Linked DNA regions of Elephas maximus indicus. The protein of the gene in region 1 interacts with the protein of each later gene in a pairwise test. Links are inferred from orthologs where the notes say so. Each region holds a gene or a part of one and is shown in the gene's direction. Other genes may lie near its edges.

What was found.
Region 2: the proteins of USP25 (region 1) and TNKS2 interact in a two-hybrid assay, tested with the Homo sapiens proteins (2 studies listed by BioGRID and IntAct). The link is inferred for Elephas maximus indicus from reciprocal best matches to the Homo sapiens genes USP25 and TNKS2.

Annotation. Positions count from the first base shown.
Region 1 is NC_064836.1:45,945,412-45,953,419, reverse strand, and holds the start of USP25 (ubiquitin carboxyl-terminal hydrolase 25), read left to right. Parts: upstream 1-4,995; 5' UTR 4,996-5,097; coding exon 5,098-5,145; intron 5,146-8,008. UniProt on the Homo sapiens protein: Deubiquitinating enzyme that hydrolyzes ubiquitin moieties conjugated to substrates and thus, functions in various biological processes including inflammation and immune response.
Region 2 is NC_064834.1:43,095,339-43,102,723, forward strand, and holds the start of TNKS2 (poly [ADP-ribose] polymerase tankyrase-2), read left to right. Parts: upstream 1-4,375; 5' UTR 4,376-4,700; coding exon 4,701-4,899; intron 4,900-7,385. UniProt on the Homo sapiens protein: Poly-ADP-ribosyltransferase involved in various processes such as Wnt signaling pathway, telomere length and vesicle trafficking.

The DNA of each region.
Region 1 (8,008 bases):
GGAGAAGGAGAAATAACCTAGCTTCTCCCTTTCCACCACACTTCAATACCTCACCTCTGCCTCTTGCTGGCCAAATTCATTCTGAAGCCAGCTGACCTAAAGAGGGGAATATGCAGGGGTAGTACTTCCTGTGATTCAGAGCAGAGCAGTAGAAGTGCAAAGAATGCATATAGGCAAGGACTATTGGGTTTGGTTTTTATACAAAAGGGTTAAGTGACTTGCCCAAGGCCACAGGGTTAGTAGGCCCTGTGGTTATTGGGAATTTGTATATATGTAGTGATCATGTCCTCTGAATACAGGAGAGACAAACCTTGGGAAGTGACATTAGTCATTTTTTAATATGTTGTTCCCTCTGCTCAGATGTTATTAGGATGATTTCAGGGAAATCTGCGACTATCACTGTAAAAGGGGAGGCGTTTGACTCTTGAGTACAGTATAAATGGAAGAAAGGAAAGAAATGAGGGGGCAAGTGTCTGGGGCCTCTTAGCCATCTTCGCCATAAGAGTAGGAATTTGGGCATGTTCAAGGTGAGGGAAGCAAGAGGTAACAGGCGAGAAACTTCTACTTGCGCTGGCTCTCAGTTGATAAAGTGTGGCTATTTCTCTATATAAACCTTGCTTTCTAAGTAGACCTTGCAGAGCAAGAGTTCAGAATAGACTAGGTTCCTTGTTCAATTCACAGAATGCTTTCCTCCATAACAATTTTAATTGTAAGTGTCAGTATTGATAGAGAATGTTGTGATACTATTCTTTAAGACATCTCTTACTAATAATCTGTGTGCTCATGGGTATAGGGCAGGAAAAGGAAGATTCGACATGACAAATGTTTGAAATGCACAATGAAGCAAAATAGATTGGCTATGACCAAAGAAGCAATATCTGGTGGCTCTCAGGGTATGAGACACCATTGAGAGTTGGAAATCCTAATAATGCCATACTTTGTCATGTTCAGAACCACAAAGCTGTCCACTTGGAATGAGAAAGTAGAGTTGGGTGTGTGCTGTAAACAGCATAAATAATTTTGTTTTCTCTTCTTCATGGCTGCCCAGTTAATTCAATAAGCATTTCATTGCACATGTATTAAGCAGACGATCCTAATGCAGATTGTAATCTATAAACACTCTATCACTGAATAGTACCATTGAGACATCATAGAAACCTTTTCTTCGAATTATTGCTTTTTGTTTCCTTATTGGGGAAAATAAAATTATTTCTAAGATATCAGTCCGGCATTATGAATGAGATGCCTTCCTAAGTCTGCCTGTAAGCTGAATTTGCAGGTGAGTTGGAAGAGGTACATACGGTTTTTATTTAGCATCAGTTAGTCAAACGTTTGTCTTAGTATATAGCATATATCTCACCTTTCTATGCATATGAAACACTTAAGAAACACTTCCAAACCTTACAATGCTTTCACGAGCATCACAAAATAGTGCCTGCGTTTGTTATTACAAACCATTGTATTTAACTTACATTTTTAATATAATTGGCTTTATGGTAGTATATTCTTTAGTACAAGCTTTCTGTAAGTCAGATGTTTTTAACTGGGGACTGTCTGTATACCTAAAGGAGGAAGATAGTTCTGATTTTTATCCAAGTACATTTAACAACTATTCTTTTGTCATGAAAATTGTTCACATCTACCCTATGAATTGAATGCTGCTCTTTTACTAACGGCTTACAAATGTGTTTTGGTAACAGAAGACTTTTGGTCTCCGGGAATGGATTCTCAAACCCTTTGTCAACAGAAAGAAAGGAATACTCAAGATGGAGGAGTACTAATTTCTTTAGTTCACATACAAAACACAACACTGAAAATTGTTAGAAACAGCATTTTGATGCAAAATAAATCTGTTTACTTTTAGACCTATGATTAAAAAACAAAGAAATTCATTTTATATGAAATCTATCACTTCATGTTTTTATCTGAATGTCCACGTTCCAGAGTAATGCAACAGTATACCAAAAAGAGTTATGAAATAGTATCCTCAGGGTATATAACTCCTGCAACCATATGTATTAAATCTGAGTCCTGAGCAAGAAAACTGGCATAGGGACAGATTTTGAAAAAGAATTAGGAAGTCCTCTCAATGGGTTTTATGTGCAAACTTATCTTAAATTCTCAAATTTCCATCTTGTACTTTTGCACTTGTGTGTTAACCAAAAGGTTGGTGATTAGAACCCACCCAGCAGTACCGTGGAAGAAAAGGCCTGGCAATATGCTTCTGTAAAAGATTATAGCCAAGAAAGCCCTATGGAGAAATTTTGCTCTGTAACACTTGGGTTGCCATGAATCGGAATTGACTCAATGGCATAAGACAACAACAACAATATTTAATTCATTCCAATTGTAAGCTTTCTAAAAAGAAATACAAGTAAGGAAACTTGAAAGTTTCTCCTCAAAGTTCTAGAAAATTACAGCAAGAAAAAGTAAGTAAATTATAGGAAATTATCAGAAATGAACTGGAAATCAAAGATCCAAGTAGGTAAATCTGTCTACCCTATGAAGAGTTCTGGAGTGCCAGGCGGGAGCTAAGGAGACCTGGGGGTGCAGGGGTTAAAGTGTCTGACTCCTAACTGTAAGGTCAGTGGTTTGAAACCACTAGTGGCTCTGTGGGAGAAAGATGTGGCAGTCTGCTTCCGTAAAGATTTACAGCCTTGGAAACCCTGTGAGGTCACTATGAGTCAGAACCGACTCTACGGGAGTGGGTTTTAGGTGGCTGCTAACCAAAATGTTACAGGTTCAAGTCCATCTGTAGGCACCTAGAAGAAAGGCCTTGTGATCTATTCTGAAAAATTAGCTATTAATAACCCTACGGAAATCAGTTCTATACTGACACATGAGTTGGAATTGATCTGACAGCAACTTTTTAAAAAATATTTTTCATGAAGAGATTTATCTTTTTTACCTGTACTAGCAGTATGAGGCCCTAGTTTAAAAAAATGTATATGTATATTTGTAGAGCTAAAAATTTTAACTCAGAGGAACACTGTATTGCCAAATTCTTGAAGCTAAACTTTAATGTCTGTCACTTTTTTAACCATGGTCCTAAATTTTTATGCTAAATTTAACTTTCTTAAGTTTAAATGTTATGAACCTGACAGATTTAAAAAAATACACATCTCTAATGCAGAGATACATGAGATTAGCATGTTGGAAAGATCTTTGGGCTGTAAGTGAGGAAAAATGGGCTCTTGCATGCTATGCTTGACACGTCACCCTTTTGGGGCCTCAGTGTTCTCCCAAAAAGATTTTTGCACTTGATGAGAACTGTTGCGTTATTCCTAATATTCTGAGTTTCCAACCATTCATGACTTTTCAAAAAGTTCTTACAAATAGGTAGGCCATCAATAAAATGAAATTTGCAATTTCTCAAAATCAAATGAGCAAATAAATATGAAGATTCAAGGGAATGATCACAAAAGGTGGTTGAAGGTATGTAAAGGGCAGACCAAAGAGGGTCGTAAAGCGTACAGGATTGTACAAAGCTTTATTTTAGAGTTACTATGATCCATGCTTATTAAATAAAACCAGATACTATTTCAGTTATCATTTACTAAACTTGCTTTTGTCATAGGATTAAAAGTTCTACCTGGATTTGCAGAGGTGTGTACCGTATTTGAGACAATATGAGCTCACCCCTCACCCTGCCAGTCCCCAGTGTAGCCCATGAAACTCAAGATGTTTTTCCAGCTAAAGATTGCTTTCTCAACGTTATATTTTCCTTTCAATTCCATATATAGTCAAGTATTTCACTTATGGTAGTTCATTGTTTGCTTAATATTATTAACTGGAATATTAGAATTATGTATCGTCTAGATAGTGATCCTCCTTTATAATGTTGTTTGCAGTGTAGGCCATATGTCATTTCCATTAACAGAAGCCCTGATGCTACAGCGGTAACCAAAAGGTCGGCTCAGACCCACCAGGAGCTCTGCGGGAGAAAGATGTGGCAGTCTGCTTCCCTAAAGATTTATAGCCTTGAAACCCTAAATCTCCGGGGAATAAATCCTATTTTTCTAGAACCTAGTAGAGACTGATGTATTTGAATGAATGAAGTAGATGGAAAAGGTCAATATTCATTTATGTAATGATTAGTCAAGTACATTTCAACGCAAGGACCTCTGACAGTCCTTTGCTTAAATCACACTTGGCTTTTCCCTTTGAGCAAGTTTGTTGCTTCTCAAATTCCTAGAAAGGAGAGGGGCGGGACAGGTTACATGGAAAGAAGCTGGGGCTAGGGACCCAACGCGGTTTTGGGACGTACCAGGGCCTGGAGGGAAATATTTGTTTTGGAGGCATGGGAAAGCGGGCGATCTGACAAGTCGTGGGCACAGGGAGGAACGCGGCCGTCGGGCTTCGGCTCCGAGATTCTCGGAGCCAAGGGCTGGAGCCGCGCAACCTGCCGCAGGGGCGGCACCCCAGCAGCCCCGCCCCCTGGGCGCGCCCTCGCCCAGCTCGGGGAGCGCAAGGCTCACGCGGGGCGGGGCGCGGTGGGGCGGGGCGAGGATTGGGGGCGGGCCTCCGTGCTGGCCCCGCCCCTCCCCTCCGCCCTACGGGTCACAATGTAGGGTTAGGGCGGCCGGCGGGCGGGGCTCGGCAGGGGAGGAGCCGCCGGGCGGGGGCGGTGACGGCGGTTGGGGGAGGGGAGGGGAGGAGGAGTCGCGGAGGGAGGAGAACAGCGCCATTCCGGCCGGCCGCTCCCTCCGTCCCTCGCTCCCTTCCTAGCAGTGACCCCTTATCAGCCAGAGCAGGAGCGCGCGAGCGCGTGACGCGTCCCGGCTAGCTCGCGCCCTCTTGCGCCCCAGCGTCCGCCGCCCGCTCATGGCCCGGGCCGCCGCGGCCGAGCCGCGCTGAGGCGGGCCGAGCCGAGAGGTGGGGCCGCCGCCGTGGCCCTCGCAGCCCGCGCCTCGCCGCCTGCCCGCGGTGCCCGCGCACGCCGGCCGCCATCGCCTTCGCGCCTGGCTGGCGGGGGCGCTGTCTTCCCCGGCCGTCCGCGCCGCTCCCTGGAGCTCGGCGGAGCGCGGCCGCCTGGGCCGGCGGAGTCCCCGGGAACCGGACGCTGCCGCCTGTGTCGCCGCCGCCGCCGCGGGGGCCATGACCGTGGAGCAGAATGTGCTGCAGCAGCAGAGCGCGGCGCAGAAGGTAAGGCGAGCCCGCGAGCCGCTTCCGACGTGCCGGCCTCGCCTCCGCGGCCCCGGCTGCCTCCCCTGCCACCCACCGCTCCGACGCTTTGCCCTGGGGGCGTCGCGCCCAGCGCGGGGTCGCCTGTGGGGAGCAGGGTGTCCTTAGCGTCTTTCCGTCCCCGTCTTTCTGCCGGTTATTTTCCTAGCACTGACGGTGCAGGGTGTGGAGAGCCCTCACATTCCTACACTCCTCTTCTTTACGCCTTCCTAATTAAAGTTTTGTCTTTCTTTTTAAGAATAGCCAGTTGTCATTTCTCCTGAACTCAGTTTGTATTTCGAAGGTAGGAGCGTTCCAGGCCTGCTATTTTGCAACGAGTCTCCACCAAAATCCAGTTGCCTGCCTTGAGGGACAGGTACATTGCCAGGTGGACTCTATGTAGAAGTAGGGGATTTGGTGGGTTCCTTTTTCTTTTTCCTTTTCTGGTTGTAGAAATTATCCCTGAAGTAAGGAAACCTTTTGACCATGTTTATTCCAGGAATCTTTTGTCCCCTAAGTTTGACCTTGTTCTACTCTTCACCCGTTAACTCCTGCATCAATCACACATTCTCATGGTCGCTCGCTGAAAAAAAAAATTTTTTTTTTCCTGTTTGGGAACCTTCAAATCTGTCATAGTGGAGAGTGAGAGGCTCTCTAAATACTGTAGATTTTGCTTTCAGAATCTTAAATGCACCATCATGGCTTGCACCATATTCTGAAGAGCAGTTGACCGTGACTTACGTTTTTTTTTTTCCCGTCGTTTGTGTGAAAAGCACTTTGGGCCAAAGGGAAACGTTGCTTTAGTCGTGTTGGAATTTTGGGGTCATTGAGGTTTACTGTGAGCCATCAGCAAAGCTGTGTTTGGTTTGTCGGGGTGAGTAATGAGTGCCCCACCCTGTTGTAGTTTTAGAGTAGTAGTTAACGCCTACCTGTGATTGTTTAACTTGAGCATAAGGCCTCCGTCCCTAACACAGCCTTTGTGTAAATTAAGCTTTTGCTTTGAGATTATTTTTAGGATTTTATGATAGTGCTTGAGGTAATTGAAGATGCTAAAGAATTTCAGAAAGCAAGGATAGTGCATTGTTATTTTAGGAACTTTGGGTAAGTTGTTTTTGGAACTTTTGTATGTTAGCTGTTACTGGGAAATTTAGAAGATTTATTGCAGACTGCAATTTATTTACAGTGAAATAATTCAAGATTTAATAGTAGGAGTTTAAAACAGTAACCTCCTAAACCTTCTCTCTTCTGTTTTGAAGACCTTAAACTTTAGTTTTTGACACCGTGTATGTCATGAATGTTAGTACTTAGGACAGGATCCTGAGGCCCTGTGAGTGCGAAGCAATCTTTAACAGGCTTGGTATCGTTTTGTCTATAGTTGTCTTCAGTGTTGAATATTAAATCCTGTTATTTTAAAGTGGAAAGAGTAGTTCATATTTTTCATACCTCTTAAGTTTGAACAATGGCAAGGAATTTGTTCTTTTCTCCCTTGACTTTGCTGGAAGTACACAGAATCAGAAAACGCAGAATAAATTTGTAGAATCAAGAATCAGATCACTGACAGTGGTCTTGGCAGTCAAGTCAAATTTCTTAGTTTAGTGAACCCCCTCCTTATACAAAGGAAGTAGTTGTTATTCCGGAATATTACCATTTTGTGTCTGGGGTGTGTGTGTGTGTGTGTGTGTGTGTGTGTGTGTTTTAAATCTTTTCATTGATATTGGGGAATTTTTTTTCTTGAGCAGTGTAATATAATTTTGTTTTGTTGTTTGCTTTCCGTGTTTACATGCTACTGCTTTGTTATCCTAGAGTAAAACTATTTATATGACTGCAAATATGTTAAACCATCTACCTCAAATAACTTGACAGATTTAAATCCACCAAGCTGGTAACTGGGAAGTGGACTTCAGACTTCAGAAGAAACAAAAGTGAAACTCTTCCTTTTCTTTTAGAAACTGTATGGAATATCAGTAAAAGGAGATGTGTCCAGTGTGTCTTGCACAGTCAGAATTTTAACCTGTTTTCTGTCCTTCTTAAAAAAAAATACATATATGTGTGTGTGTATATAGAGAGAGTGTGTGTGTAATATTGTATTAAAATAAATAGCCATATTGTGGTTGGAATGATTCCTATGTTTTCAAGATATTTTTTTTTCTTCCAGAGGGATGTAGAAGAAATAACCTTTTTTTCAAAAAGCAACACTACACAAAACTTTCATAGCTCTGTCATAGTTCACCTACAGAATAGCTTGTCACAATGTAGTATGAGAAGGCAAGTGGCTGCCTTGATGGGTTTTTTGCTTGATTGCTGAAGTTTGGCCAAGGCAAGGACTTAATGGGATACAGTAGAATTGCAGAGAGCTGCTTTTCTTAGGTTTAGATGCTATAAGTGAGGTGGTTTTGGCTGCAAATTAGTTACAATTAAATCCTGCGGTAATTTTGGTCTTGAACATGTATCTTTAGTCTTTGTGCTTGGTATTTACCTAAGTGGAGCGTCCTTTGACACATCTCGGATATTTGATGCACAGATTCAAGTTTCAAATGAGGATTCTTAGGGCAGCATTAGCATTTGGTCCTAGGGACCAAATTAATTTATAGAGCACTCCCCAATAAACAGGATATACTTACATTTAATACATCGATTTGAGTTGAATAAAGTGTAAAGTTAGGAGAACAAGCACTTTGCCTGTTATGTTTCACCCTAGGGTTTATAGCACTTCTTTGCCCTTTTTTTTTTTTTTTTCTCCACATGCTGTCAAGTCCATTGCGACAGAAGGGGACCCCATGTGTGTCAGAGTAGAATCGTGCTGCATAGGGTTTTCAGTGGCAGATTTTTGGGGAGTAGGTCATCA
Region 2 (7,385 bases), on another chromosome or scaffold:
GTTGTTATCACCATCGAGGCAACTGAAATACGGGGAGGTTAAGTAACTTGCCCTAGATTATACAATGAAGTAGGGATTCTAGGTAGCACCATAATACAATATGAAAAGAATGGACTGTTTAATAAGTGATGTTGATAAAGATAGCTTACCATATTCATTTGCATCAGAGTCCCACACCAAAAAAAAAAAAATAAAAATGCTTGATATGGATCAAAGACCTAAATATGAAAGGCCGAGAGAATGGAGCAGTACGTTTTTATGGCTTTTGAGGAAAGAGGCACTTCTTAAATAAGACTTTGAAACTACAAATCATAAGGTTTGGGCTAAAGAATTTAACTTTACCCAAGAATTTGGTCTTTCTCTTTGGTTTTGCAGAGATAATCTCTAAAACCTTGTAATTTTCCCAGTAATCATGTCTTTGATAAGGGCTCCAGACCACACCTAACCTACGTTATGCTAATAAGGTGACTCCTGGATGATTCAACCAATCATGCCTTCCTAACGAAGTTCCTATAAATGTTCTAGACACAAGAGCTCCATGGGCTTCCCAGTTGGTAAAAGACATCAATGTACATGGGAGGGTAGTGCATCCCTTTCAGGGACATGGAAGCTTTGCAGTCAGAACTCTCTCAGGCCTTACCCAATGGGTCTCCTCATTTCTATCCTTTTTGATATAATAAAACTGACTGTAATTGTAAATATAGTGCTTTCTGTGAGTTCTGTGTCGTTCTAGTCAATTATCAAATCCAAGGGAGAAGTAGGATATAATAGGTTGAAAGTGAGGAGGGCCTCATGACGCCCAAGCTTGCAGCTGGTATCCTGAGGGGGAAATGGGGGAAAAAACTGAATTTGTAGCAAGCAGGTCAAAAGTGAGGGTGTTGCGGAACTCCCAGGCTTGCAGCTGGCATCTGAGGTCTTTGGCAGACTTGGCAGTGTGCTGGACTGTGCCCTTTGTCTTGCAATATCTGACCTTGTGAGGGTCAGAGGAAGAAGTGCTACACACGGAGCTGGTGTCAGAACAGAAGTGCAACAGAGGAGAATTGAATTGGAATTAATAAACAGATTGAATTGACTCTCTATAGCGTGGTGTCAGAGAAGGATTTGAATTTCCTAGCATAAGATAAAAATTAAAGGATTTGACTACATTAAAGATTATTTGCAACAAAAGAAATCACAAAGTTAACAGCCAGAAATCCAATTTGCAGAACATATTTGCCGTGCCAACAAGGATTTAATAATCTAGACCAGGGGTCAGCAAGTTTCTTCTGCAAATGGCCTGATACTTAAAATTTTGGGCAACTACTCAACTCTCCACTACTCATCTGTCAGTTTGTTGTACTGCGGTAGCTTTTGTGTTGCAGTGATGATATTGTCACCAGCATTTCAAATACCAGCAGAGTCACCCATGGTGGACAGAACTCATCAGAGCTTCCAGACTTAAGAAAGACTAGGAAGAAGGACCTGGCGATCTGCTTCTAAAATAATTGGCCAGTGAAAACCTTATGAAAAGTAGCAGAATATTGACTGATATAGCGCTCGAAGATGAGCCCCTCAGGCTGGAAGGCACACAAAATACTTCCGGGGAAGAGCTTCCTCTCAAAGTAGAATTGACCTTAATTATGAGGATGAAGTAAACCTTTTGGGACCTTCATTTGCTTATGTGGCACAACTCAAAATGAGAAGAAACAGCTGCAAATGTCCATTAATAATCTGAACGTGGAATGTACAAATTATGAATCTAGTAAAATTGGAAGTTATCAAAAATGAAATGGAACACAAAGAGTGATATCCTAGGCAGTAGTGAGTTGAAACGGACTGGTTTTGGCCATTTTGAATCAGACAATCATAGGTCTACTATGCGAAGAATGACAAATGGTGTCGCATTCAATAAACAATATTCTGTCGCAATCAATAATGTTTTCATTGGCTAATTTTCCGAAATAGATCTTCAGGACTTTCTTCCCACTAAGCTCCACTGAAACCAGTCTACCACAAGTAACCCTGCTAGTATTTGAAATACTGGTGGCATAACATCCAGCATCATAGCAATATGCACACCACCACAGTACAACAAAGTGACAGACAGGTGAGATATATTAAGTGTATTTTAAACTTATAGTACATCTCATTTCAAACTAGCCAGCGTAACCTTAGAAGAAACTCAATGGAAAGTCAGACTCCCAGCATCACTATCCATCAGGTGGCGTGAGCAGAAAGGCTGGAGCCATTCCTGAAGGCTTTTTTTTTTTTTTTTCCTGAATTTCCCAATCACCAAGTTCTATTAATTTTATCTCTTGCTAAAAGTCACTTCTTTCCATCACCACCTCCTGCGGCCATCTTTCTAGTCCAAACTACCATCATCTTTCAGTTGATACTTTGCAATCACCACCTAATTGGACAGCCTGAGTTAACACCAATGAGTAACATCATGATAAACAGAGAAAAGACTCAAGTTGTCAAGGATTTCATTCTACCTGGATCCACAATCAACAGCCAAGGAAGCAGCAGTCAAGCAATCAAACGACGCATTGCACTGGGTAAATCTGCTGCAAAGAACCTCTTTAAGGTGTTGAAAAGCAAAGATGTCACCTTGAAGACTAAGGTGTGCCTGACCCAAGCCATGGTATTTTCAACTGCATCATATGCATGTGAGAGCTGAACAACAAATAAGGAAGACAGAAGAACTGACGCCTTTGAACTGTGGTGTTCATGAAGAATACTGAATATACCATGGACTGCCAAAAAAGCGAACAAATCTGTTTTGGAAGAAGTACAACCAGAACGCTTCTTAGAAGCAAGGGTGGCGAGACTGCATCTTACATACTTCGGACATGTTGTCAGGAGGGATCAGTCCCTGGAGAAGGACATCACGCTTGGCAAAGTACAGGGTCACTGGAAAAGAGGAAGACCGCAATGAGGCGGATTGACACAGTGTCTGCAACAATGAGTTCAAGGGTAACAACGATTGTAAGGATGGCGCAGGACCAGGAAGTGTTTTGTTCTGTTGTGCATAGGGTCACTATGAGTCTGAATGACTCCACCATACCTAACAACTTAACACCCTAACTCAGAATGTATCAATTCTTCTTTAGCCTTCCTCATTGGCCAGCTTTCACATGCATATGAGGCACACCTAAGTCCTCAAACTGACATCTTTGCTTTTTAACACTTTAAAGAAGTCTTTTGCAGCAGATTTGCTCAACGCAATATATTTGATTTCTTCACTGCTGCTTCCATGGATGTTGATTGTGGATCCAAGTAAGATGAAATCTTGACAATTTCAATATTTTCTCCGTTTATCATGATGCTGCTTATCATTGCAGTTATGAGGATTTTTGCTTTATGTCCAGGTGTAATTCATACTGAAGGCTATAGTCTTTGATGTTCATCAGTAAGAGCTTCAAGTCCGCCTTCAGCAAGCAAGGTTGTGCCATACATGCAGGTTAAAAGTAAAGTATGTATGTCCCCTCTCTTTTGGCACAGGAATGAGTCACACTCCCAAATACTGAATTTCCTGAAAAACAGGTTAAAAAGTTAATACCACGGTGGGGGGAATGCTTATCAACATGCCAAAGGTCAACATACCATTTTATGTAAGTATACCTTTCTTTCAAACTGCAGTTCCTTGAGGCAAAAGGAGATGGGGTGGGGAATGACCATAAATTGCTGCATCACTATCTTAAGCATTTTTCCTAGGGTTTGTTGGCCACAGAAAAAAATTAAAACTCAAATAACACTCTTGGCGAGGTATACGCCTCGCGTATTCGCATCTCAGCCACATCCAATACAACATCGAATTAGGTGTGAATTCTCTAGTCAGTCCTGTGTTAATAACTATCTAAAGAGTAACTACTCAGAGCCATCCCTGTTAATTACTATTACTTTAGAATTGGAATAAACTTCCATCGCTTTCCTAATTTCTTTAAAAGGTCTTGGGGCAGCTCATACAAACTTCTCACTGAGTGGAAAGCAACTCCTCCTTCCAAGAAAACCACAACAAAAAAGGCAGTTTCGGGGAAAGGGAAGAGTAAGGAAAGCGAAAAACAAATCCCCAAGGAGAAAAGGGCTGTGGAAGCTGGAAAAAAAGGGAAAACTTTCACACTAAGACTTCCGAAATTCCTATGTCAGGGTAAGACTTTCAAGGGTTCATTTTTCACTGTAGGAAACAGTGAGGAAATTCAGCTCGGAAAGTTCACTCACTAAGAGAGAAAGTACGGCTGTTCAGCTTCACCAAACCTCACCACAAAGATGGCGGTGGGGCGAAGCCCCTTTTCTCGCCGCCAAGGACTCTCGCCTCACATTTCCCACAAACCCCTCCGTGCGGCCCGGCTCTCCGAAACCCGCCCGGCCGGTCTACCGCCACTGCGCACGCGCGAGGCTACGTCACGTGCGCTCCTGGGTCTCCGCGGAGCTGGCAGGAGTGGCCCTGCCAGCTTCCGCCGCCGCGTCGCTTCAGAGTTCGGACAGCGCGTTCGTGTTGCCTCCGTCACCGGGGGGCAGCCAGGCTGCACTGGGCCGATTGGGGAATCGCACAGCGACTAGACCGTGGGACTGCGTGGGGGCCAGTGACAGCGGGGAGCCGAGCGTCCCGGGCCCTGAGCGCGTCTCCTCCCGGGGGCCTCGCCCTCCTGCTCGCGGGGTCGGGGCTCCTGCTGCCGTTGCTGGCGCTGCTGCTGGCGGCGGCGGCGGCGGCCAGGATCATGTCGGGCCGCCGCTGCGCCGGCGGGGGCACGGCCTGCGCGGGCGCGGTGGTAGATGCAGTGGAGCCGGCCGCCCGCGAGCTGTTCGAGGCGTGCCGCAACGGGGACGTGGAGCGAGTCAAGAGGCTGGTGACGCCGGAGAAGGTGAACAGCCGCGACACGGCAGGCAGGAAGTCCACCCCGCTCCACTTCGCCGCAGGTAACCGGGGCAGCGCCGCCTCGCCTTGCTCCGGACGCCACCTGCGCCTCCTCCCCAAGCTCCGGGGCCCTCAGGCCCGGAGACCAAACACAGTGCTCCTCTGTCCCCAGCCTTTCCCCCCAGGACGCCGGTCTTGGAGATCTCGCTCTTATTGAGTGGGGATTGAGGGGATTGGTGGCTGGGGGGAGCGTGCCGCGCTCGCTGCAAGTTTTTTGTTGTTGTTGCTTTGGCTTTGTTTTGTTTTACAGTATCAACAATACATGTACCAACTTCCGGTCTTGCTATTCTAATAGGCCTGTACACACAAGCAAGAGTAGGAATGTAGTAAGCCTTGTGATTTGAAAAACTATTTCCAGAATCTACTGTTTTCTTGCAAGTTCCGCAGCCGAGTTGCAAGCTCTCTTACCATTCCTTGGGTTAAGGTTTTAATGTTGTTGGTTGCCATAGAGTGGATTTCGTCTTATGGTGACCCCATGTGTGCAGAATAGGACTGCTCCGTAGGGCTTTCAAGGCTGTGACCTTTCCGAAGCAGATTGCCAGGCCTGTCTTCCTGGAGACCCTGGGGGGTTCAAACCGCCAACCTTTTGGCTGGTAGTGGAGCACTTAACCTTTTGTGCTACCCGGGGACCAAGGTCTTAAAGGCCTCTGTAAAATTCAAGGAAGTTATTTAGTAGGACTGGCTTTCTTGGCAGTTGACATATAAGCGTTAATTGGTCACCACTCATTAGCAAGCCTCTGGAGAGAATATTAGTGAAAATAGGTAAGTTTAGGAGAACTGAGATCTGACTTAGACCAGTTGGCCTTGTTAAGTCTCTGCCATACACAAAAGTTGAGCTGGAAAGTAGGATGAGAGTAGAGATTGTGTGGGTAGGCTAGCTGGAATCTAGAATTTAGGTTGAGATTAACTTTGCTCCGTCCTGAGGTTCAGATTGTTTGAATTTCTTTTAACATTTATTAAGTTCACTTTACATAAACGTGTGTTAAATTTAATTGAAAATTTTAAAAGAACTAGACTTACTTACATAAAGGAGTTAAGGTTTTCACTTTGAGAAAGATTGTGACTGTCTCTAATTATCAAGTGAGCCATGCATGATTGAAAGCGAGAGTAGGTTCTCATACCTTTGATTATCCTGGTTTCTTATTTCGTGTATTACATGATAATTTTAAATAATTTTTTTAAAAAGTAGAGGGATACATTTTAAAGCATTCCCGATCTTTTGGGGCAGGGGTGATGAGCAAAGTTTTCCTTATTCATAGAGAGTGCTTTTACACATTCTACCGATCGGAGGCAGTCCCTGGGTGGCACAAATGGGTAAGCATTGGACTACTAGCGTAGGAACTACAAACTCAGAGGCGCGCTGGAAGACAGGCCTGGCGAACTGCTCCTGAAAGAGCACAGCCTTCAAAATCCTTTGAAGCAGTTCTATTCTGCACACATAGGGTTGCCATGAGTCTGAATCGACTGGAAGGCAACTAGCAACAACCAGTTGGAGATTTGTTTGCTTTAATCTGCAACCGTTGTAAAATATAAATAGTACCAGGAGGCATAAGGAGCCCTGGTGGTACAGTGGTTAAGGTGATTGACTGCTAACCGGAAGGTTGGTGGTTCAAAACCACCAGTGGCTCCTTGGGAGAAAGAAGTGGCAATCTGTGTCCATAGAGATTTGTAGCCTTGGAAACCCTATGGGGGTCACTGTGAGTGGGAATCGGCTCAAGGGCAGTGGGTACCAGGAGGTATGCTTCCTGATCAGTTTTACCTTTGTTGAGTTCCCACTGTGAAGAATCTTTGAGAGAAGGCGGCTTGGGGGACCACTGGTGGTGGACAGTGGAAGGGGAAGGAAGAAAGGGACTAAAGCCAGATCTCACTTATTTAGCCATTTTGCCTGAAATTTTGATGGTCATTGCTGCCTTCGTTCAGCTAATTTGGATTGCCCTGTTTGAACATGTAGTCAACATTTGAAAAACTGATTTGGCACAGTGTCATAACCAACTGATACCAAAGGGTAGTGTTACTTAGATTCTGTTCACTTGATCTGTGGATAAAAATAACCAAGGAAGATCTTAGTTGCTACCTTTCAAGAATTTGGTATATTAATGAGTTCATATCTGAGAATAGTAATATTTCAAGGTTTAAGGTTGAGGGATTGTTTTATCGACCTTGTTCCCTACCTCCAGCCCACCCCCAGTTCTGTCCCAACATTTCAAGGCACCTTTTACATAGATTTCTTGCTGTTTTTTCAAATTAAAACAGAAAAATTAATATTTTAAGAACCGATCCACCCTACAACTTACCCACATTATCAGGTACAGGTCTTAAGGTTAAGAATTTAAAGTATAAAAAAGGGAGTAATAAAAATTATTCAGAGATCTATATTTCAACTGGAAGCTTTAAAAGTCTACTTTTAAACCTAGGTGTCTAACAGACTTTAAAAAAAAAAAAAAGCTCTGTGAGATCATTCCAAGTGATTAATAAAAGAGAACCTATT